6 linked regions of the Oryctolagus cuniculus genome follow. The protein of the gene in region 1 interacts with the protein of each later gene in a biochemical or structural test. Links are inferred from orthologs where the notes say so. Each region holds a gene or a part of one and is shown in the gene's direction. Other genes may lie near its edges. The genes, in order: MED1, RARA, VDR, ESR2, ESR1 and THRA.

Region 1 (3,500 bases):
ACAAAGAAAGGTCTTCCATCTGCTGGTTCAGTTCTCAAGTGGTCGCCTCGGCCAGAGCTGAGGTGATCCGGAGCCAGGAGCTTCTTCCGGGTCTCCCACACAGGTGAAGGGACCCAAGAACTTGGGCCAACCTCCACTGCTCTCCCAGGCCACAAGCAGAGAGCTGGATTAGAAGAGGAGCAGCTAGGACTCCAACCGGCACCCCATATGGGATGCTGGTGCCGCAGGTAGATCTTGGCTTACTATGCCACAGCACCAACCCCTCTTTAAGTTTTATAGGCCTTAGGGCCAGTGCTGTGGCAGTGGGTTAAAGCCCTGGCCTAAAGTGCCGGCATCCCATATGGGTGCCAGTTCTAGTCCTGGCTGCTGCTCTTCTGATCCAGCTCTCTGCTATGGCCTGGGATAGCAGTAGAAGATGACCCAAGTCCTTGGGCCCCTGCACCCACGTGGGAGACCCAGAAGAAGCTCCTGGCGCCTAGCTCCGGATTGGCACAGCTCTGGCCATTGTGGCCATCTAGGGAGTGAACCAGTGAATGGAAGACCTCTCTGTCTCTACCTCTCCCTGTAACTCTTTCAAATAAATAAAATAAATCTTTAAAAAAAAAAGTTTTATAGGCCTCAAAAATTACTGGTAACACTTATTAAGTACTTCTTGAATAAATGGGCCAAAGAATGTAAAAATCATGAAGAGAATACTGAGCGGTCAACATTTGTATCTTAATGAGATTATTATATTGGTTCTTGTTTTTCCAGGAATTCCATTGTTTGAAACTCAGCCAACCTATGCACCCCTGTATGAGCTGATCACTCAATTTGAGCTGTCAAAGGACCCTGATCCAGTACCTTTGAGTCACAACATGCGATTTTATGCTGTAAGTAATGCCCACTAAAGCTAGAATGTAATAGGTTTTATTTAGACCCAAGATGAGAAATTTTCTTCATAACATTATCGAGGTCAGATAACTTCCTTTTGGACTGTTGGATCATATTGTGTTTCCTCACTTACGCAAGAAATTACAGAAATCTCTGAAACCTATTGAGGAAAAAAGGCATGAGTTTTCAAGTCAGGAAGCAACAATGTTCAATTATTTGTTGAAATTTCATATGAAATTCTCTTAATGGCATTCTGAAATTGAGTAAGCTTAGAAGTATGTATTAAGTGTTCATACTATTGAATTCTTTGAAGTGCCATGAATGTATTCTGTGGAAACCTCCTTCAACTACATAAAGAGAAGAAAATGTATAAATTATGAAAGTTTCTAAAATCATGTTTGGGCTTGAATTAGAATTTTTAAAAATAATAGTTTCGCAATTCTGCATTATATGGAGTGTTTTATTAAAAAATACAGATTTTGTACTAACCATTTAGAAATGTTTTTAGTAAAGATTTCTGATGTAATTTTTTTATATTTTCATTCATAGAGAAGGCAGAGAGACAGACACATATTTCCCATCTGCTAGTTCATTCCCCAGCTCTCTGCCATAGTTGGAAAGAAGCCAGGAACCCAGAATTCAGTCTGGGTGTCCTGCATTGGTGGCAAGGACTCAACCACTTGACCCATTACTGCTGCTGCCTAAGGTGCCATTAGCAGAGCTGGAGTCTGCAGTGGAGCTGGGACTCAAACACGACACTTTGATACGGGATGCAGGCACCCATGCACCATCTTTACTGCTATACCAAATGCTTGCTGCCACGTTAGCTAATGAACCTAGTAGCATAGAGCTTTTACTAAATAGGGATCTTTCCAGAATAACGAGTAATTGGTTAGCATTTATAATACTAACTACTTGAAGAATTTACTGTGGGGTTTTATTGCTCCCCCAGATTTTGCTGTACTTTTTTTGAGGAGCAGGTTTCTTCCGGGACAGCTTGTGGTTGGAGCACAAAGGGAAAGTAAATAGTACTCACTGATGTTCTTTTTGCTCAGGCTCTTCCAGGTCAGCAGCACTGCTATTTCCTCAACAAGGATGCCCCTCTTCCCGATGGTCGAAGTCTGCAGGGAACTCTTGTTAGCAAAATCACCTTTCAGCATCCTGGTCGAGTTCCTCTTATCCTCAATATCATCAGACACCAAGTTGCCTATAATACCCTAATTGGAAGCTGTGTCAAAAGAACTATTCTGAAAGAAGGTACTGCCTTTCCTTTTGATATATTTAGTGAAAGATGGAAACTGACTACTCCAGTGGTTTTTCAAAATTTTTTTTTTGAGTTTTTTTTTTTTTTTTTTTTTGACAGGCAGAGTGGACAGTGAGAGAGAGAGACAGAGAGAAAGGTCTTCCTTTTGCCGTTGGTTCACCCTGCAATGGCCGCCGCGGCCGGCACACCGCGCTGATCCGATGGCAGGAGCCAGGTACTTATCCTGGTCTCCCATGGGGTGCAGGGCCCAAGGACTTGGGCCATCCTCCACTGCACTCCCTGGCCACAGCAGAGAGCTGGCCTGGAAGAGGGGCAACCGGGACAGAATCCGGCACCCCGACCGGGACTAGAACCCGGTGTGCCGGCACTGCAAGGTGGAGGATTAGCCTAGTGAGCCATGGCGCCGGCCCTTTTTTTGAGATTTTTATTATTTGAGAGGCAGAGTAACAGAGACAGAAAGGTATCTTCTGTTTGCTGGTTTGCTCACCAAATTGCCCTAACAGCCACGGCTAGGCCACACCCAAACCAAGAGTATAGAACTTCATCCAGGTCTTCCACTTGGATAGTAGAAGGCAAAGCACTTGGACCATTTTCCACTGCTTTTTTAGTTGAATTAGCAGGCAGATGGATCAAAAGTGGAGTAGCCAGGAATTGAACCCAGACTCTGAAATGAGATGTTGGTATCTCAAGCTGCTGCTGAATATACTGTGCCATAGTACCAGCCCCTCGAGTGGGTTTTGAATTTGGTGGCCCATGAAAATCACCTATGGAGTTTTTAAAACTCCAGGTGCATGAGTTTCACCCCAAGACGAACTGAATTAAGACTCTAGTGGAAAGATTAGCGAAGGCAATGTAACCACAAATTATTCTGATGAAATCATTGTGTAGATTGGCATTTGGGAGCCTCTTTTTTTTTCCTCCTTATTCTGGCATATTCTATGTGTTTTTTTGTTTGTTTTTGTAAATCTGAACTCAGTCCCAACACGGTTTGTCTCTCTCTTTTTAAGATTTATTTTATTTATTTGAAAGGCAGAGTTACAGAGAAAGGTAGAGACAGAGAGAAAAGTCTTCCATCCACCGGTTCACTCTCCAAATGGCTGCAATGGCCAGAGCTGGGATGATCCAAAGCCAGGAGCCAGGAGCTTCTGTGTTCTGCACGTGAGTGCAGGATCACAAGCACTTGGGCCATCCTCTGCTGCTTTCCCGGCCATAGCAGAGAGGTGGCTTGGAAATGGAGCAGCTGGAACTTGAACCGGTGTCCATTTGGGATGGGCTTTAACCCACTGAGCCACGGCACTGGCCCTCTGTATTTTAAGGTCAATCATGATAATCAGTTTCCTGGTTTATGAACACATTTTCTTTT
Region 2 (3,998 bases), about 800 kb from region 1:
CCGCTCCCAGACGTCCAAGAATGTGAAGCACGTGGATGCCCGTAGTGGGGGGAGGGGGAGATGCTTATCAGCCGGCCGCTGGGCTAGGGGCCTTCTTCCGCCGCCGGGCTACACCCGGAGCCACCCCCACCCGCTTCCCAGGAGGAGGAAGGGCAGCACCGAGGGCCCAGAGCCCACTCCCCAGCCCTCCCCGGGGGCTGTTTAGGGAGCTGCAGAGGAGAGGGCGCCAGCTGGATTGGGAAGGGGAGTCGCTGGCCGGGGGCCCGGCTGATTTCCTGCTGATCTCCTCCAGGAAACCGGCCCCTTGTGCGAGCCTGCGAACGAACGGCTCTGGGGCGTGGGGAATCCGGAGCGCTCAGCTCGCCCGGCGGCCAGGAGGGAGGTGCGGGGGAGGGGCGCCCTGGCGGCGGCGGGAGGGGACGCCTGGCTTCCTGGTCCGCTTCCAGCCCTCCGCTGGGCGCTGGAACTTTGAGCTGAGAAGGTGTGGTTCTTCTCCCGCCTGAGCCCTTCTGCAGCTGGAGAGGGATTTGTGGGCCAGGGCCTCTGGGTAGGGAGGTTAGGGGAGAGGCCGGGTCGGGCGGCCTCTCCCTGCCTCTCCCGAGTGCAGGAGTTCCTGCTGTATCCTAACTCGCGCAGAAACTGAGGGGCGCCTGGGGTCCCTCACACTTTTGCCTTGGGTCGTTTTACCTGGTCTTCCTAGGCTGCGGGCTGGAGGCCTTGGCCCCAAGCTCTGGATTCAAAGGGCAGAGCCAGAAACCTCAGAGCTGGGTTACCTGGGAGAAAGGTGGGGATATTCTCAGGCTGGGGTGTTGCAGCCTCAAGGGCCTGCGGTCAGTGGCCGGAAGGGAGGTGGGAGGTGTCACCGAGTCCGAACTGTAGCCCCTGCGTGGGTTGTCTCCCCCGTCTTGCCAAAGATCATTTTAAAAAGCACTTTCCTCCAGTTCTGCACACACCCTCTGGACTTTGCCTTAGCTCCCAATTTCTGTGTGCCTTTCCCGGGCCTTAGAGCCCTGCCTCTCCCCGGGCCCCGCCTCCCGGCCTCCACTCTGCTCCCTGCCCCCTGCCCCCTGGGTCCTGCCGCTGCTGCTGGTCTGGCTCATTTTTGGGGTGGGGCCTTGGGAGGAGGCGGGGCCCAGGGCAAAGGGTGGATTAACAAGGGAGGCCAGTGCCTTCTTCCTCTGCTTGTTGGAATGCTGAGCGGGGATTCTAGGCCATGGCTGCCCCCCCCATGTCCTTGACACCCCCCCCCCCAGTCTGGATTGTCTATTGTTACTGTTTTTACGTCTTGGAAAAAGTTAGCACAACAAAGGGCTTCTTTGTGGCTCACCCCTCTGCCTCCTGGCCTCACCCAGGCCCCCCAACCCCAACCCCCCCCCCCCCAGCAGCTGTCCTCAGGCCTCCCTGCCTGTCTGATTTGCTTGTCTGGCCTGGTGAGAATGAGATGGGGGGGAAAACCAGGGCGGTTGGGTGTGGGGATGAGGAGCTGAGGTTCTGGGAGAGGTCAGTGAGGAGTGAATCTGTGGACCAGTGGGGGACAGCATCTACTGTCCCTTTGCTGCAGGCTGGTCTCTGGGCAGGGCAGGGCTGTCAGGCTGATGTGGGCTCTGGTGCCAAGGCTGTTAGCCTGGGTCTCGGGCGTGTCTGCGGCTAAGGGGTGACGCGCGGCCGTGAGGTGTTTGAGCCAGGAGCTGTGGGCTGGGGCGTGGAGCTGGGCTGTCAGGATCGCATCCTCACCCTTCCTAGGCCTTGCACAGGTGGAGGTGGCCAGGGCTGCAGGAGAAGCTGTACGGTTCTCATCCAGCACACTGCACCCCCCACCCCTGCCAGCCCATCCCTGTTCTGCCTGGGGCGATGGCAGAGAGCCAGGCACTGGGGAGGCTTTGGTCAGTGGGGGACAGCTCCTGCTGGCTAGGTCACCCCTCCTGGCTGCCCTCTGGGGGCTGAATTAACAGGAGGGGAGGGGTGGTAACCCGGACATACTGTTGAAGCCAGACAGACAGAGCATTGATGGGAACAGACCCCCCTTTGTCATGCTGCCTCCCCTGAGGCAGGGGGCACCCAGGGTGATGGGCTTCTAGGGCTCTGTCCCCAGGTGGTCTCTCCACCTATCTCAGGGGACCCCCACCTGCTGTGCCCCAGCCTTCGGGATTCTTCTTTGTACACCCGCCTGGGTCTGCCTGGGTCCTCGGCCTGGGGATTGTTTGGGTGGAGGAGGGGCCCTGGCTGTTGGCAGAGGGGGGTGGAGGGAGGGGCAAGCGGAAGCAGAGGGGGTGAGGGAGTGGCTGGCTTTGAATATCCTGTTGACCCCCATTTCCTCTGCCCCCAGCTTGTGTCTTCTCTCCTCCCTCCTCATCCAGCCTTAACTCCTTCCTAACTTGGGGGAGTACCGGCCAGGCCACCCGAGGCAAGGCCTAAGAATAGGGCCGGACCACCTCCTCCCAGGCAGAGCCCAGTACACAACACACACCCACATCTGATGGTTTATGATCTCAGCTTTCTGTGTTGAGGACGGGGTCCTGGGGAAGTAGACGGGCGTGATGGGGTCCCAAGGCTTCCCCCAAGCTTGACTGGGGAGTCCCAGCTTTCCCGAGACCGTCCCTGCCAGCAGTAGTGAGGCTGGGAGAGGCTCTGGAGGGAGACCCTGAGCAGGGCGGGGCAGGGCATCAGGGATGGCGCCTGGTCTCTAACCGCCCCCTCCCTTTCTCTCTCTCCAGCCATTGAGACCCAGAGCAGCAGTTCGGAAGAGATAGTGCCCAGCCCTCCCTCGCCACCCCCCCTCCCCCGCATCTACAAGCCCTGCTTTGTCTGCCAAGACAAATCCTCTGGCTACCACTATGGGGTCAGCGCCTGTGAGGGCTGCAAGGTGAGACTGGGGACTCTGGGAAGGGCAGTCTTGCTTAGATAAATGGGATGTCCCCGCTGTCACGCCCTGGGAGAATTCGGTTGAGGGCAGGGGCTGTCCCTGATGCTGCTGCTCTTGCTTGTGTGTGGAAGTTGCCAGCAGCCTTGAAGGAGGAGGGGGTGCCAGCAACAGAAGCTCCCCCATAGATGAGCAGGGCTCCCCCCAAACCAGAGGCCCCCTCCTGCCCGAGCTCCCCCCGCCCCCGTCTCCATGCTCCAGCCGGCAGGGCGTGCTCCGCTCTGCCACCGCTGCCCAGGTTGCCATGGTGAGCTGGCTGCCGACCGGCTCTTGGCTGGGGACCCAGGAGGCCTGCCCCCGGCGGCCCTGCCTGCACCTCGCCATGACAGCCTGGCAGGCGGCAGTTAGGAGCGGAACCCTGCCTCGGCTTCCCCTACAGGTGCTGAGGCTGTGGGCTCCCCAGCGTCTGCATTTTTCCCGTCCTCATGTTAGGCCCCAGCAGCTCTGGGCCTGGCTGGTCCTCTTCCTAGGACCAGAGCCTCCACACCAGTTTCTCTCTCTAGATATTAGGGTTTGGAAGCTGTACAGTCTTGGGGCTCTGGGCTGCCCATCAGCTACCTGTCGGTGTGGGACACAGGTTCAGGGCACAGCTCAGGACCTAGACTGTGTGTGTCTGCCTGCTCTGTCAGGTCGTTTCTGACTTGTTCCTCATCTGTGTCCCTGGGGAGCCTGGGTGTGGGGCCTCTGACCAGCCCGGGTCCATCTCTGAGTGCTTCATGCACGTCTGTCCGGGTGGTGACTGGGTCTTGCCACCTGGCTCCTGAGCGTGTGTGAGTGCATGAGTGCCTCCGTCTCTGGCCAGCTCACGTGTCTGAGTCCAGGCTGTGGGCTCCAGATTCCCGCCTCTGTCCCAGCCAGCCCCACGGGTTACAATTCCTGACTCAGCAGCAGCCCGAGGTCCTTCTCCCTAGAGGGAAGGGGTCAGGTGTGTGGATGGAGGCTGGGGGAAGACTCCTGCCCACCTCGTAGCGCTGAGGCAGTAGCGGGCTTCTCCCAGGGGTGACTCATCGCCCCATCTTTTCTGGCCTGCTCAGGGGGGTGATGGGCGAAGGCTTGGGAGCAGCCGCTGGCCTGGCCC
Region 3 (3,500 bases), on another chromosome or scaffold:
CTGCTTCCTGAGAAGAGGTGCGGGCCACTCGGCGAAGGCTGGGTGCTCTGGCCAGGCACAGAAGCCCCCGTGTGAGATGGGGGGGGGCTCTGAGTGGGGGATGAGGCTCTTGCCTCACACAGGGCAGGGCAGAGCTGCCGGCCAGGTCAGGTCTGTCCCGAGGGCCGTCAGCACCGACACGCGTGGGCGTACTCTGGGACCTGGATGCCCGGCCCAGAGGAGCCTGAGGTGCAGTGTCCGAGTGACTGGGCGGGAGGGCGGTAGGTGAGGGCTGCACCAGGAGGGCCTCCTGCCAGCCCCGCCTGACTGCCTGATGCGGCCCTGGCCTGGTTCCTGCAGGGATGGAGGCCGTGGCAGCTAGCACTTCCCTGCCTGACCCTGGCGACTTCGACCGGAATGTGCCACGGATCTGTGGGGTGTGCGGTGACCGGGCCACCGGCTTCCACTTCAACGCCATGACCTGTGAGGGCTGCAAGGGCTTCTTCAGGTGAGGCCAACACCAGGGCTGGGGGGCAGGTTCTCCCGGGAGGGCGCCCTGGGGTGTCGTGTCACGGGAGCCGCAGGCTCCTGACCAGGGCTCGCTTCTCTCATCCTGGGCTCCGCGGGACGTCGCTCACCTGAGCTCTGCCCTCCCAGTGCCCCACGGAAGCCCCAGGCCTCACGAGCTCAGGATCCCGGTAGGGCTGGCCCCACCCTCCCACCCTGTGCTCTGCCAGCTTCTCCCCGACAGCCTGGGTCCCAGCCCGTGTGGGAGAGTGCTGCGGGGGCCAAAGGGAGACCCCAGCCTAAGACAGGCGGGGGTGCCGCTGTGACCTCTCAGTCGCGTGTGCTTGTGTCAGTGTCCCACCCACACAGCTGGCGTGAGGGCTGAGGAGGTGTCGCACGTGGGTGCCACGGTGTTTGGAACGCAGATGGCGGTAAACGTCTTCTGAGTGTGCGGGGCCAGTGCCTGGGTGGAGCTGTGCCCTGTGGGAGTCGCAGGTCTCAGCAACCAGCAGCCGCCCTCGCTCACTGCTTCCCAGGCCTGAAGGGGAGCCGTGACCTGGGCGCTGCTGTCTGGCAGCTGGCTGCGTGGGGCTCTCTGTGGCCGCTGGGTTGGTTCGCCGAGTCCATGCCTCACCCCCCCCCCCCCCCAGCCTCCTGCCCCAGATGTGTAGCTGGCTGCTTGTCGATCTGGGGAATTGGAGTCGCCAGTTCCCCAGATCCCTCCAGTGCCCCTGTGGTTGCCGCCCTCATCACGCTGCGGGGCTGGGTCCCCAGGAGACAGCTATGTGAAGACTGGGAGACGGAGGATGAGTCGTGCCCAAGGCCAGGTGTGGGAGATGGCATTGCCCGTGCGCGTGCCAGAAACCTGCGGTGTGGGTACAGGGCGGCCCCTCCCTACACACCCACAGCCACAGTCTGCAAGGCTGGGCACTGGGGCAGGAGCTGCCTCTGTCCCCTGCCCTCCGTCTGCCCAGTGTTTTCACTGTTCCTGTCCTGGGGACTGAGCCAACTGCACCTTCTCAGGAACCAGCAAGTCTGTGGTTTGGCTCAGATTTTGTTTGATCTATAAAAATAAGCAATCACACGCAGAGATAGACACACAGAGACACGTGCACAGACACATACAGACACACTCAGAGATAAACATGAACAGACACACACAGAGGCAGACACACAGGCACAGCACACACACACAGACGTGCACAGACATACAGATGCACAGCACACACACAGAGACACAGCACACACACAGACACAGCACACACACACAGCACACAGGTTTGCACACACAGCACACAGGTTTGCATACACAGACACACAGGACATACAGAGTACACACAGCACACACAGCACACACACAGCACACATGGGACACACAGCACACACGGCACACATAGCACACACAACACACACAGCACACACATACAGCACACACAGGACACACAGCACACACATACAGCTCACAGGTTTGCATACACAGACACACAGGACACACAGCATACACAGTACACACAGCACACATGGGACACACACACACACAGCACACAGGTTTGCATACACAGACACACAGGACATACAGCGTACACACAGCACACACAGCACACACACAGCACACATGGGACACACAGCACACACAGCACACATAGCACACACAACACACACACAGCACACAGACACAGCACACACATACAGCGCACAGGTTTGCATAAACAGACACACAGGACACACAGCATACACAGTACACACAGCACACATGGGACACACAGCACACACGGCACACACAGCACACACAACACACACAGCACACACATACAGCACACACAGGACACACAGCACACACACAGCACACAGGTTTGCATACACAGACACACAGCGTACACACAGCATACACAGTACACACAGCACACATAGCACACACACAGCACACATGGGATACACAGACACACAGCACACACGGCACACACAACACACAGCACACACACACAGCACACACAGACACAGCACACACAGCACACACAGAGCTGATCCTCATTGTTTGTGGACTCTGCCCCCTGCAGCACGCCTGAGGCCATTTCCGGGCAGACGAGCGGGGCAGCGACGGCCCTGCTTTCACGCTCTCATGACTGTTGCTGGCAGTGTCAGGATTCACCGCAGTCCCCCGACACCAAGACGGGAGCGGTCGGCACAGCTGAGCAGGAAACGCATGGGCCGCTGGTGATGAGCCGTGTCCCTGGAGTGGCGCTCAGTGCCCGCCAGCCCAGCTTCCGCGGCCACCATGCACCTAGAACCCCCGCGGGTCCCGCGGGTCCTCCCTGCCCCTGCCCCATGGCTGGAGGACCCTGCTGTTCCTTCTGTCAGTGGAACTCGGGTCCCGGGACGGTGGCCTTGGTGCTCTGGCGTGAGGTGGCAAGTGCATGCCGTGCAGGGGCGAGGCCCTCGGCGGTGGTTCTCGGAAACACTGCTTCCTGTTGGGCCCTGGGGCCTGGCCATTATGCTTGACCGTTAGTTCAACCATTCGAGTGGCCCGGGAGCCACTGTGGTCAGCCGGCAAGCCCAAGACTCAGTCGGGCCCCAGGGAGGAAGGAAGGGGAAAGAGACCACTGTCCCGTTGCTCTGGCCGGGGACGAGAGGCCGCTGCTGGTCAGCTCCTCCCACAGGCCCTCCGGTGGTGCATCTTCTGTCTGCTGCTCCGTGCTGCCTTCCTCCTGCCTGCACCTCGTGTGTCAGCTGTGAGTCCCCAGACCCTGTAAGGATGGGTCTTAGGGGTGCAGGGAGCACAGGGTGGCGTGGGGAGGTTGAGGATCGTGAGGGGCATCAGCAGGCTGTGTGTGGACCTCTCGCAGACTCTGGACAGGAAGGGAGGCAGAGAAGTCGGGCAGAGGTGCCCAGAGGATCAAAGTGCCAGGAGCTGAGAGGCCGCGAGGGCGTGTGCGGCTCAGGGCACGGCTGAGGAGTGGCCAGGAGGAAGCCTGTGCCAGGCCAGCAGCAGCGGGAGGGGTGAGGCGCGTCTCCCG
Region 4 (4,158 bases), on another chromosome or scaffold:
GGATTTCTGCTGTGTTCCTTTGGCAGTCAGGGTCCAAAGGAGGTAGACACTACATAATACCTCCAACAGGGGAAGTTTAACATAAAGAATTACTAATTATAATAGGAGATTAAGTGTAAGATATGAAGAACTCTGATATTTGGGACTGAGGAAGAGTACCCAAGGAAGGACAAACTTGGAGGGGTTCAGACCTCAATAGGGAAAGTGAGGTTCAGCCACTAGCTAGCGGTGATGCTGGCTGGGATAAGCCGGGCTGCTCTGGAGTTGCCCCTTCCAAATGCAAGTGGGCAGCTGGCAGTCCGCAGCGAGTGGCATGGGTGTGCACTGGGAGCCCAGTGACACACAGACCCTAGAGGGTGGCAAGTCTCGCTTCACTCATTATTTTGTGGTGGGCTACCCTTTGGGCTACAGCTTGAACATGTGACTGGGGAAGGTTATCAGTACACCGAGTGGGAAGGTCACAGAGGAACCTTATTCTGGACCTGTGGCTGGGCTGGTCTCACATCCTTCCCAGGGTTTAGGAATTACAGCAAGTCTCGCAGTGTGCCTCTAGCGCCCTCTACTGAAAAGGCTCAGTATTGCACGCACTTTTCCTTCCTTGAAGGAATTCCATGGTTTACCATAGACCGTACATTGAAGGATGCATTTAAAATTGAAAGACAGTAGAATGATAAGTGACACAGTTGCATTGGTCGGTCTTTCCATGTGCTGTTATTCAGTATTTTTTATTATTGGAGATTCATAGTGTATTTGAATATCTGTTAATTCTTGCACTGTTACAAATTGATCTTCTCTTCCAATAAGAGTTTTCAAATAAATTTGTCTAATCCTAGAAAAAACACTTTGTGGCAACTGCTAGATGTGAGCCAGGCACGGAGCCAGGAACTCAGTTCAACTCTCCCATGAGGGTGGCACAGACCCAACTACTTGAGCTATCATCTGCCACCTCCCAGGGTGTATCAGCAGGAAGCTGGAAATGGGAGTGGAGCTGAGACTTGAACCCAGGCACTCTGATATGGGAGGGCGGTGTCCTAACTGATGGCTTAACCGCCAAGCCAAACATCCACTACTAATCTTCTGCTTTTTTAAATACTCCTGTAGGATAAGTTCCCATCATGAAAAATTTCCTGTGGTTAACAATAACAACAAAACCAACCAAGAAATACACTAGAAGATGAGTAGTGCACACCGCTTATTCCCACCCCTCTGAGTTAATATTTTCATACACATCTTTCAGGATGTATTTGTAATCCTATTTAGATGTGAATATTTTTAAAATAAAAAAGTTTTAACACTTTTCAGCTGTTGCAACTGCAGGTGTAACTTAGCAATGTCTTTTGCTTCTCTTTCCAGCTATTTTCCCCACCCATGAGCCTTTGAGGATGTTGTAATGTCCCTCCGTGCCTCGTGTTGCAAGGAGTTTATACAGCTGCTACCTAGTCAAGACATGGATATCAAAAACTCACCATCCAGCCTTCACTCTCCTGCCTCCTACAACTGCAGTCAGTCTGTCTTACCCCTGGAGCACGGCCCCCTCTACGTCCCTTCCTCCTACGTAGAGGACCACCACGAGTACCCCACCATGACCTTCTACAGCCCTGCCATGATGAATTACAGCGTCCCCAGCGGCGCCAGTGAGGCGGACCGTGGGCCGGGGCGACAGCCCACAAGTCCAGATGTGCTGTGGCCGACTCCTGGCCACCTGTCTCCTTTAGCCATCCGTTGTCAGTCGTCACTTCTGTACCCAGAACCTCAGAAGCCTTCGTGGTGTGAAGTGCGACCGCTGGAGCACCCCTCGCCTGTGAACAGGTGAGGCCGGCCTTCGTTCTGAGCCGTATTCCGTGGGGGCTCGGCTCCCCTCCCGGTTACCGAGAAGACGGACGTGCGTTCCCAGTGTCTTCATTTATGAGGACCCTTCAGAAAGTTCGTGGAGTGTGTGTGTGGCGCTGGAGTTCACATTTTAATTCCATTGTCCCCTGAACTTTTTGAGCAACTCTCGTAATAAGTCATTCATTACTTGGAGCACCTGAAACGTGATGCACTGTTTTAGTCTTCCTTTTATTTTTTTTTTAAGATTGACTTATTTATTTGAAAGGTAGAGTTACAGAGAGGCAGAGGCAGAGAGAGAGAGAGAGAGAGTCTCTTACCCAGTGGTTTACTCCCCAGTTGGCTGCAATGGCCAGAGCTGGGCCAATCTGAAGCCAGGACTTGAACCCGTATCCATATGGGATGCTGGCTCTACGAGCAGCAGCTTTACCCACTATGCCACAGCGCTGGCCCCATGTTCTCTTCTAATATTCCAGTCCTCATTGAAAAATTGTACTTGTAGGTGAGTGTTGCAGGCACAGCTCACTATTTTGAATGCTGCTGTATTTATATTATAAAAATTATCTTCCTTTTTTCCTAAGTTTGAATACCAAATTTTTTAGTTTTAGGTTAGACTCATAGTGAAATCACAATATAGTGTTCATGAAAAATTGTTCCCAGGATAAAAATAAGTGTGGCAGTACTACAACTTAAAGGAATACTAGCCGCCTGAAACCTGTAAAGACAGGCAATTGGTACAGCTTAAAATTTTTTGAGAGGCAGAGAAAGAGAAGGAGGGATAGGCAGCATCCCTGTATCTGCTCAAATGCTCACAGTGGCAGGAACCAGGCCAGACTGAAGCCGGGAACTGGCAGCTCCATCATGGTCCGCCCTGTAGGTGGCAGTGTCCCACCTGCTGGGGCATCACTGCTGCCTCCCAGAGTGCACATCGGCAGAGAGCTGGAGTGAAGGGCCCAGGCACATCCATGTGGGTGCAGGCATCCGAATTGCTAGGCCAGACGCCCAGCCCATTATAAAGTTGGTGGGAAACCATTTAATATAGACATCATTTGAAATTTCCTGAAGTGGAAAAGAATATTTGTACTCTTTAAATGCAAGGTAAGATGGATTATTTCAGTCTAATAATACTTTCTTTTTTTTTTTTTTTAAAGATTTATTTATTTGAGAGGTAGAATTACAGAGAGAGGGAGGGAGAGACAGAGAGAATGGTCTTCCATCTCTGGTTCACTCCCCAAATGGCCGCAACAGCCAGCTGGTACTGGGCAAGTCTGAAGCCAGGAGCTTCCTCTGGGTCTCCCACGCAGGTGCAGGGCCCAAGGACTTGGGCCATCTTCTGCTGCTTTCCCAGGCCACAGCAGAGAGCTGGACAGGAAGAGGAGCAGCTGGAACTAGAACTTGTGCCCATATGGGCAGGTGGAAACTTGGCCTACAGCCAGAGCGCTGGCCTCAGTCTAATGGGCATTTTCAATGATCGTTGTACCTCTGAAGGGAAGACATTAATGAGGGGAAGAGAAGAGGGAGATGAAATTCTAAAACAGTGAAAGTTAAATGAGAACATGTTGGATATGAAAGTTCATTACTTTCTTTTCTTATTTGAAGGGCGGAGTGTAAGGGAGGGAGGGAGGGAGGGAGGGAGGGAGGGATATATATATAGAGAGAGCTTCCATCTGGTGGTTCACTCCCCAAATGACCACAGTGGCCAGGGCTGAGCCAGGTGAAAGCCAGGAGCTTCATCCGGTCTCCCAGATGGGCGGCAGGGCCCAAACACTTGGGTCATCTTCCAGTGCTTTTCCCAGCCCAATAGCAGGGAGCTGGAGGTGGTGCAGCTGGGACACAGACGGCATTTGCATGAGGTGCTGGCCTTGTAGGTGGTTTTACACGCTGCACCACAAGGCCGGCCCCACGGGAAACTTTTTAAAAGCAGTACTTTAAAAAAATAAAAAATAAAAGCAGTGCTTTTCATTCAGCCTTTAAAGGCAGAAGTATGTTGTTTTGAGCATGAATTCTGATCAAAGTTCTGATATTTGGACAAGCTAAACCAAATGAAAATTACCTTCATTGATCAAACGGTCAACCCTTTATCATACTTTCCAAACGAAATATGCCCTAGCAAAACGAGGAAGTGGCCGGGCTTGGGTCTGGTGCTGCCTGTGCTTCCCTGCTGGGCCGGTTCCGCCGTGGGGCCAGGGCCCGGCCTCTGCTTCACCCACCTGAGCTTTCCCTGGCCAGGCAGCTGCCCGCTTCCTCCCCTCTCTTCTCCTTTCTGCCCTCTCCCCACCTCCCTCTCTTTAACCAGAGTATAGTATTCGTCTCCATGTGACTTGGAGTCCA
Region 5 (4,076 bases), on another chromosome or scaffold:
TGCTGTTAGAAAGGCATAGTTCACTGATTCTGGCAAATAAAATAACTGAGGTATTTAATTAATTTAGAGAAATTTTACTGTAAAAACACTTAAATTGTTAAACATTTTGTTAAATAATTCTTTTCACCTGAAATCATAACAAAACATTAAAAAGCTAACATCCTGCAACAATGCATTAGTATACAGAATGATTTCTTAAGTGAATCTTGTTGAAATATTCTTTGTTAAAGTGAAATATTCTGCTCCATGTAGTGTGAGCAAGTTAATCTCAAATTTTTTGCATATTCTACTTATTTTATGGGCCAGCTCACAAATATAAAGACTGAAGACTGTTAATATTTATTTCAAGATGTCTGAAAGCATTAATCATGAGACTTTCGATTTTCTCTCTTTGCTGGGCCAATTGAGACTTGTCTCTTACTCAACACCTGTCAACCTGCACTGGGTCACTAAAATACGGCAACAGAGACCTTCCCTCTGCCCCTTTCCTCCACCGTTCTCACTTCCAGTACATTGTCTTTCTTAAGACTTGTAGAAAAACTAATATATTTTTTAAAATGTCTTTTAAAGAATGTATTACATAAGCCGCAGTGGACTTTATAAGCTATTAAAGTTTCAGTACTTAAAAAAATTCATTAGTATTTTTGAGCCCATTTTCTACTTTAGTATGCTTATCTCCATGCTCAAAACAAACACAAACAAAAAGGCCACCACTTTATATCACTGCAGGAAATGCCAGGCATTTTAGGGGAGGATCATACGGCAGAGTTTAAAAGCCACAGAGGAGCTAAACGTGTGCACATCGCCGAGACCCTAATTAATCAGTGACGAGAGGAGCGGAGCAGGCGGTGGAGCCCATGGGTGAATAAGAAAGTAACGAAAAGGCCTGCAGAAGATATGGCCTCGCCCTTGCTTTCAGTTGTAGCCAATTTTGGGTGAACAAAATTTATGTCCTGAATGAATGCTTTATTAGTTTTTTCCCTACTTGATCCGTCTGTCTAGACTTCAAGCTTTATTTATGAGTAAAGAAAGAGTTGGCTGAATTATGTAAAAAATTGGGGGTAGATTAACGCATAACTCATCCCTTGTTAAACATCTATCTTCACGGAAGTGCTAGGAAAGTTACAGTTAGGCCTGGCTTCGAGAAAGGAAGGCCACCCCCTCCTCTATTTTTTTTTTTTTTTAAAGGAGACTTTCCAATCCTAGTCAAATGGTGGTGCTAGTTCTTTATTTTTGAGTTACTGCATTTCCTAATTTCATGGTCATAACAGCTTCAGAGCAGCGTCTACCAAAACTGAAAATGCAGGCTCCATGCACAGAAGCTCTTTCACAGGCTTGAAAGGTTCAGGCTCCTTTCTCCTGCCCCTTTCTGTAGCATAAGAAGACAGTCTCTGAATGACATTCTTCTCAAGTAGGTACTCCTATTTCTTCTTTCTTTATATTTTTCCTTGTGCTGTAATGTGCTACTGTTTACAAGCAGGCTGGAACCCCAGAGCTTTCCTCTCATGTGAAAAGCTGTTCATTTTTCTCATACCACCCCAGAATATTTTGCAAAGTTGCTGGCAACCATTGCTGCAATGTTAAAAATATGAACTCTAAACTTGGTACAGTGGAAGTTCACTTTTGGAGTAATATTCAGCTGAGTCAGAGGGCAGCACCATTACCCTTTGCTCAGTACAGCACTGACTAGCTTCCTGCCTGCCCTAGATATCCTATATTTGTTGGATCCAGCTCTTGCTACGAGATACTGTATGGCTGAACTGTGTCGGAATTTTGAAACTTCATCTCTGGACTGATGGTGCACCAGCATGAACTCCCTACCTGTTTTCTTAATCTTTGGTGCCGTAACTTATGTGAGTCTGAACTAAGCAATCGGAATGACCCTTTACTTGTTTCCTGAAGGCAGTCAGGTTTTCTACAAAGCTCCACAATCTAGCAATAACGCGAATGAGACAGCCTGTCTTGAAATCACCCTAAAATTTTAGGAAAGGGTTGTTGTTGTTGTTGTTGTTGTTGTTGTTGAATATTGCTGTCTTGGTTTTCTTGGAGGTGAAAAGAAAACTACTGATGACTTTTGGAGTAGGATGGTGTGTAATGACCCCACCACATAGAGTGTGCTATTCAAGTAAGGATGTGGGAGTCCCGAAAGACAGGGCAGGCTACTTTCGTTTTGGTGAGAGGAATGCCATATGTTTCAGGAACCTTAGTTTAAGTTGCAAATTTCATGTTTGGTCAAGAAGGAAATCATATTTTCTTTTCACAGACATGCCCGTAGATACTAAGATGATTAAAAAATATTTTAAAAAATTCCTTAATTTGGGTTGGGCCCTCTCAGGACTTTAGATCACCACACTGATTCCTGTTCAAAGGTGCGGTTTTATGCACCTCTGAGAATAAGTTTGCCGAACAACTGTAAGCAGAAGGTTGCTGGGAGACTCCTCTGGTTTTGAATGTGATTTCTATATGTACAAATTCATGTCAAGTGATTTAGGAATTCCAGGTAGAAGCATTTAAACAGAATTAAAATGTACAGAGAGCCAGATGAGATAAAGTTGAGCGAGAATGTCTGAGATCTAGAGTTTGAGAGCCCATTTCAGTTTCACAAAATTCCTTCCTATTTCTCAAAAGCAAATGTTTGCTATGATTTTTGTTACTGTCCTGTGAAGACTGCCCACTGGGCCTGGATATGTATGGATATAGTACTGTAGAGGTTGGATACAATACTGGAGAGGTGGTTAGATTTCCGAGGAAATTAGGAATAAATATGTATGCATCAGAGATACCATGTGCAGGGAAAATTCTAGATATGAGCACACAAAGGTTATATTTGTTGGCAGGATATTTTTCTCAGTTGCAAGTACTTGTATTTTTTGTGACAGTCAAGGAAAGGGGTAAAGTTCATGTGTTTTACACTTTCAGCAAAGAGAAAGTTAAACAACTCTCTGATTTCAGTGAACTGTTTCTCATCCAGTTAAGGATTTAGAGCTAACCAGATCCTATTCCTTTCCCCAAACACTCTACACCCTGTGTGCTGTAAGTGTTACACCAGGTACCTGCTGACCATTTTTGCTTGGTTGTCCATGGGTCATCTCTGAGTATTTTTCTGTTTTCGTTTAGTGCTGTTGGTCACAGCAGCTGCTGTGTAAAGGGCCAGGTGGTTGGGCTTTAGTTTCTTTTGAATAGAGAATAGCTTGGTTCCATGGTTGCATATTAGATACAAGGCAAAATAGGCAGGACGGAGAGTGACCAGCTCTGGGGAGACCATCATGTTGTTTATAAGAACTTACAGCACACGCTTCATCCATGGCACCTGAGCTGTGGTTCTGTTCTACCACCTTTAGTAGGGCTGGGTCTCCATCACTATCCCCTAAGAAAGAATGTGAAGCCCGCCTCACCCCTGCACAGTGTCTAATAAAGTGCTCTTTTAAAAGACAAGTGCTTCACTGTTCGCTTTTGCTGCGATGATAGTGTTGGTCGTGCGTTTGCTTTCTGGGCACTGTCTCAGTAGATTTCTTCTGAATCCTTCTCGGTGGACCACAATATAGTGAAACCTTGCATGTCAGTGGATTTTCTGGATCTTACCAAGCAGTGAAAATTTTGTTTTTCTTTTTGAATGTTTGTGACTATTTTGGAGGACAAATGGGGTTGCCCTATTCATTCATTCCTCAAAATATTTTGCCGCATACTCTCACTACTTTCTAGGTGTGCAACTTATTTCACCTCTGACCTCAAATTTCTCATCTGCAAAGTACGGATACTAACAGTAGCTACTAGATATAATCATGTGGAATAAATGAGATTAAGCCACTCCTTAAAAGTCTTTTTATCTTCAAGTGTTTGAAATTCAATATGAGGAAGGCGTTTCACACCACTTCTGGTACTCAGAAAATGTTGACTGAGTACATGAATAAGAACTTAAGAACTCCAGGTCAGCACCACAAGTGCTAGGATTTTAAGTCCGTGTACCATAGTGGGTGGGAACTTGACCTGAAAAGTTAAGGGCAGTCACTCCAGCTAGCTATGCATGGCACCTGTTGAAATGCTGCTGCTTGTTAATGGGTATAGGTTGGAGGAGG
Region 6 (4,125 bases), about 560 kb from region 1:
CCCAATGTGGATCAACGGTTGGTCAGAACTCACACTGAACAAATGACTCTGCCCAGTTATAAACCATTAGCAGAGCAGCTTCCCTAATACACACACACACACACACACACACACACAGCTCCCCAAGAGCAGTGCAGAGACAGGGCCCCGCCCTGGGAGCCGTGGGAAGGCTGTGGCCCCCGCTGGTAAAACTGGGCTAATGACAGCGGTGTGGGGGGGAACCGGTGGGGCAAGAGGGGGTGCTGGGGTAATTAGACCTCTGCCTGGCACTAGGAGATCCTGAGATGAAAGGGGCTCTGGCGTCACTTGCATGGTTTTATGTCCATGCGTGCAGGTGTGTGTGTGTGTGTGTGTGCATGCGCACACGTACGCATGCATGCAGGGGGATGGGGCTGGTAGGAGACCATCCCTCTTTTGGGGAAGGGGGTCCATTTGGGTGTAGCCCACCCTCCTCCTCAGAGTGGCCTTGGTACCCTTGGATTTAGGTGAGGCAAGCATGGGAGGAAACACAGCTCTTGTGGGGCTGGCAGTGGAGAGGGTACAGCCAATCTCGCCCCCTCCCCGGGCTCAGCAGGGAGAGCAGACTGTTGGGGAAATGGCTGGTGTCAGTGAATAAAAGAGCCGACGTGGAGAAGGGTGGCGTTTGGAAGAGGAGGCAGTGGATCGGGTTTGGCTGTTAGGAATGAGAGGGGTAAGGGGGAATGTGCTCCCCCAGAGGATTAAAAACGGCGTGACTGAAAGTAAAAGGACCTGCGGGAGCACCTGCCCAGCCCTTGCAATTGGAGCTTGAGGAAGCTCTGGCCGGGCAGGCTGCGGGGATTTCCTCAAGGTCACGCAGGGAGTTACCGGCGGAGAAGGGACCCGAACTCCCAAACAAACTCCACTCGACCGAGCACTTGGCAGGCAGACTCTCCGCCCCGTTAACGCGGTGCAGGTGGCTCGTCCACGCTCCCTCCTCCTGCCCACGGTGCAAACCTCGAAAACCCCCCAATCCTCCCGGCAGGCAAAGGCTATTTTTTTTTTTAAGTGACAGCTTTTCCAAATATGTCACCAAGTACAGCTCCCGCCGGAGCCGCTTGCCGGAGTCCGAGCGGGGCGGGGGCAGAGGCGGCCGAGGGGCTGCCGGGCCGCTGGCCGTGGTCCCGGGGCGCGGCGTGGGGCGGGGGGCGGGCGCCGGCGGCGGCGAGGCGGCCTGCAGGGAGCAGCCGTGAGCCGGCCGGGCGCGCCGAGCCCGAGCCCCAGCCGGAGCGGGGCGGGGGAGGGAGGAGCCAGAGCGGCCGCCGCCTCTGCCGGAGGAGCCGCGGGGCCGCCACACTCGCCCCCCGCCCCCCCGCGCTCACTCGCACTCACACCCGGGCGCTGGAGGCGGGCGGCCCGGGCCCCACCGGCCCCCCATGGACGCCCCCGGCACGGGGCGCTGAGACCCCCGCGCCGCTGCCCAGCCCGGTCCAGCGCGCCACGCCGAGGTAAGGAGGAGGGAGCGAGGGGGCATTAATATGCAAATGCCTCGCGATTGATTATGCAAAGCCGCGGGTCCCTACGGCCGGCTCCTGGGCGGGCTGGGGGCGCCCAGGGGGTGCCCGCTGCCAGCCTCAGCCTTCCGCGGCGCCCAGGTGACCCTGTCACAGACCGGGAGCTTGCAACTGACGCCCCAGGGAAGGGAGGTGTTGCTGGGAGGTCGGTGGGCCCTGGGGTTCGCTGGCGGAGATGGCGTCTGGGCCTCCCCCTCGAGGGCCCGCCCGGCCTCAGTCCGGCCGGTCTGCTGCGCGTTCCCAGGCCGGGCCCCGCTGCCGGCCGCCCGAGCTCCCCCGCCCGCCGCGCCGCGGTTTGTTTACGGTGCTCCGGAGGCCTGCCCCCCCCAGCCCCCACCCCAGCCTCGGAGGCCGAGCGGCTGCGGAGGGCAGTGGGAGTGCAGTGGGGAGGGGTGGGCTTGCACCGGCAAGGGGAGAGAGAGACAGAAGTCCCTCCTCCCCTCACCCTCTCCCCAATTAAGCATGGCTCTCTGGTTGCAACACTCCTAATTGCAAAAACGCGGCTGGGGGGGTGGGGGTGGGGAGTGGGGGTTTGGGGGCGCAGTGGGGGCCCGTGCTGGCTGGCGGGGCTGAGAAAGAGAGGGAGAAACGGATCTCTGTTGTGCACCCCCCCTTGTCTCCCTCCCCTTGCAACGTGTCTCTGGTGCCCCTTCTCGGTCTAGGGCCCTCCCTTGTCCAGTGTGAAAGAAAGGCCTGGGGGTGGGGGGATGGCGGAGGCAACGGGGAGAGAGCTGCCGGCTGGGTGGGGGGTTGGGGGGATAGAAACAGAAGGAAAGCCAGTGAGATGGGAGCCTGCCCCTCCATGCTGGCTCCGGCCCCAGAAGGGGGAGGGGATGAAGGGGGCTGTTGTCCAAGATGAGGGGAGAAGCAAAGGTGACATACAGACACAGAGATATGCCCACACAGAACAGCCACATGCACACCCAGGGACACCCAGGCGGACTCAAGGACAGGAGCTGCTGGACACACCCACATGGGACAAGGAAAGAGGCAGGCTGCCGCTGCACTGTGGGAGCCCAGAGGGGCAGAACACACCCACGGGAGACCAGCAGCAGGCAGACGGACCCATGCACATGCCCACACGCAGGGTAACACAGAGATGCTGTCACCCACATGGGCGAGGGGGAGTTGCTGTCACCCACACAGAAAAAGTCACTATGGCATGCATGCATGCACACGGAGCAATTGCACACAGCCACACCGTTACAAAAGACCCTGTCACTCACAGGCACACACGTGCTTGCATGAGCACAGTCACGCAGGCATCATCCCCTGGCGTGACAGTCACTGTCACTCTGTCAAATGCAAGCACAGTTACACATCAACACATGTGTACACAACTTAGCAACAAGTATTTTCTTGGATTCTTACAGTGGAACTCGGAGGTTCTGTCGACAGCAAAACCGCTGCTCCTGAGTAAATGGAATGTGTGTGTGTGAAGAGATTTTTCATGCATCACGATACAAAGCATGCATTCCTGATAGCGCACTCGCTCTTGGTCATTCTGGCTTGTCAAATCACCCTACTGGGAAGCCGACTCCTTAAGACCTGGGAGAATCGCTTAGACAGCTCTGGATCCCACCCAGAGACTAGCATAGGGGCTGCTCTGTAAATACTTGTTCATTGATTGACTGTGGGCAGTGCGGACACAGGTGCACTCGTTGGCACGCAAGCCCATGGACTCAGGTGCACCGCACATTCACAAGGCTCGGGCCATGCTGTCACAGGTCCACGTGGACAGTGTGTCAGACAGCCCCAGGTGCACACTTGCTGCCAGCGCAGTCGGGCACACCTCCATGCCTCGGTGACAGCCTCCCTCCAAGCTTCCTCCTGTCTCCTTCTGGCATCAGCCCTTTGTGAGAGTGGGCGCTTTTTTTTCTTTTGGAGGGACAAGAGAAACAAGAGCAAAGACAGGGGGTGTAGGGGGGTTTCAGAGGGCCGAGTCATGGGCCTGAAGCAGTGTCCAGTGACTTCTAGCAGCTGGGATTGTCCTGGCTGCAGGGGTGGGGGTGGGGGCGTTGTATGGGGGAGAGCTGGCTTCCAGGGAGCGGCTCTCACCCGTCCCCTGAAAGCTAACAGGGGACTCCCACTGCCCTGCTGAGGATGATTTTCCTGGGGACAACTGAGTCCCTGCCTCCCACCGTGCGTCTGGCCCCTTTTCCCACCTTGGCCTTTCTGTCCAGACTTGGACGCTTTCCTTAGGAGGCCGAGTGCTGGCGAGTGTCTGCGTGAGTGATGTGTATTTTTGACTTGGAATTTCTCTCTAACTCTGTCTCTCTTTCTGTTGCTGTGTCCCGTGGTGTCTAATTCTCCCTCTCTCCTTGTTCCCCTGCCAGTCTGTTACTCCCTCTTGCCCCAGCGCTCCCCTGTCCACCCCTGTCCTTGTCTCTGTCTGCCACTGCCCCTTCCCTGGGAGCTGGGAACTGGCAGGGATGGTCTTCATACTTTTCCAGTTGTTAATACTCAAACTCCGGCCCTCTGCCCCGGCCCGCCCCGCCTCTGGGGTCAGCGGGAGGTTGGGGTGGGGGGCGGGGGGCTCAGCTGGCTGCTCAGGACATCCTGTGTTTCCTTAGTGCTGCCGCTGCACAGCCCA

The links.
Region 2: the proteins of MED1 (region 1) and RARA are reported together in a solved structure, tested with the Homo sapiens proteins (2 studies listed by BioGRID, with this or other methods). The link is inferred for Oryctolagus cuniculus from reciprocal best matches to the Homo sapiens genes MED1 and RARA.
Region 3: the proteins of MED1 (region 1) and VDR form a complex in vitro, tested with the Homo sapiens proteins (5 studies listed by BioGRID). The link is inferred for Oryctolagus cuniculus from reciprocal best matches to the Homo sapiens genes MED1 and VDR.
Region 4: the proteins of MED1 (region 1) and ESR2 form a complex in vitro, tested with the Homo sapiens proteins (2 studies listed by BioGRID). The link is inferred for Oryctolagus cuniculus from reciprocal best matches to the Homo sapiens genes MED1 and ESR2.
Region 5: the proteins of MED1 (region 1) and ESR1 form a complex in vitro, tested with the Homo sapiens proteins (6 studies listed by BioGRID). The link is inferred for Oryctolagus cuniculus from reciprocal best matches to the Homo sapiens genes MED1 and ESR1.
Region 6: the proteins of MED1 (region 1) and THRA form a complex in vitro, tested with the Homo sapiens proteins (6 studies listed by BioGRID, with this or other methods). The link is inferred for Oryctolagus cuniculus from reciprocal best matches to the Homo sapiens genes MED1 and THRA.

What each region holds. Positions count from the first base shown.
Region 1 is NC_091448.1:22,931,233-22,934,732, forward strand, and holds part of MED1 (mediator of RNA polymerase II transcription subunit 1), read left to right. Parts: intron 1-753; coding exon 754-872; intron 873-1,928; coding exon 1,929-2,130; intron 2,131-3,500. UniProt on the Homo sapiens protein: Component of the Mediator complex, a coactivator involved in the regulated transcription of nearly all RNA polymerase II-dependent genes.
Region 2 is NC_091448.1:22,126,471-22,130,468, reverse strand, and holds the start of RARA (retinoic acid receptor alpha), read left to right. Parts: upstream 1-1,198; 5' UTR 1,199-1,213; coding exon 1,214-1,430; intron 1,431-2,714; coding exon 2,715-2,863; intron 2,864-3,998. UniProt on the Homo sapiens protein: Receptor for retinoic acid. Retinoic acid receptors bind as heterodimers to their target response elements in response to their ligands, all-trans or 9-cis retinoic acid, and regulate gene expression in various biological processes.
Region 3 is NC_091440.1:137,504,845-137,508,344, reverse strand, and holds part of VDR (vitamin D3 receptor), read left to right. Parts: intron 1-339; 5' UTR 340-341; coding exon 342-487; intron 488-3,500.
Region 4 is NC_091451.1:6,167,827-6,171,984, forward strand, and holds the start of ESR2 (estrogen receptor beta), read left to right. Parts: upstream 1-1,358; 5' UTR 1,359-1,390; coding exon 1,391-1,809; intron 1,810-4,158.
Region 5 is NC_091436.1:16,248,111-16,252,186, reverse strand, and holds the start of ESR1 (estrogen receptor), read left to right. Parts: upstream 1-1,276; 5' UTR 1,277-1,411; exon of another isoform or gene 1,412-1,415; intron 1,416-1,677; exon of another isoform or gene 1,678-1,853; intron 1,854-4,076.
Region 6 is NC_091448.1:22,366,864-22,370,988, reverse strand, and holds the start of THRA (thyroid hormone receptor alpha), read left to right. Parts: upstream 1-1,325; 5' UTR 1,326-1,466; intron 1,467-4,125.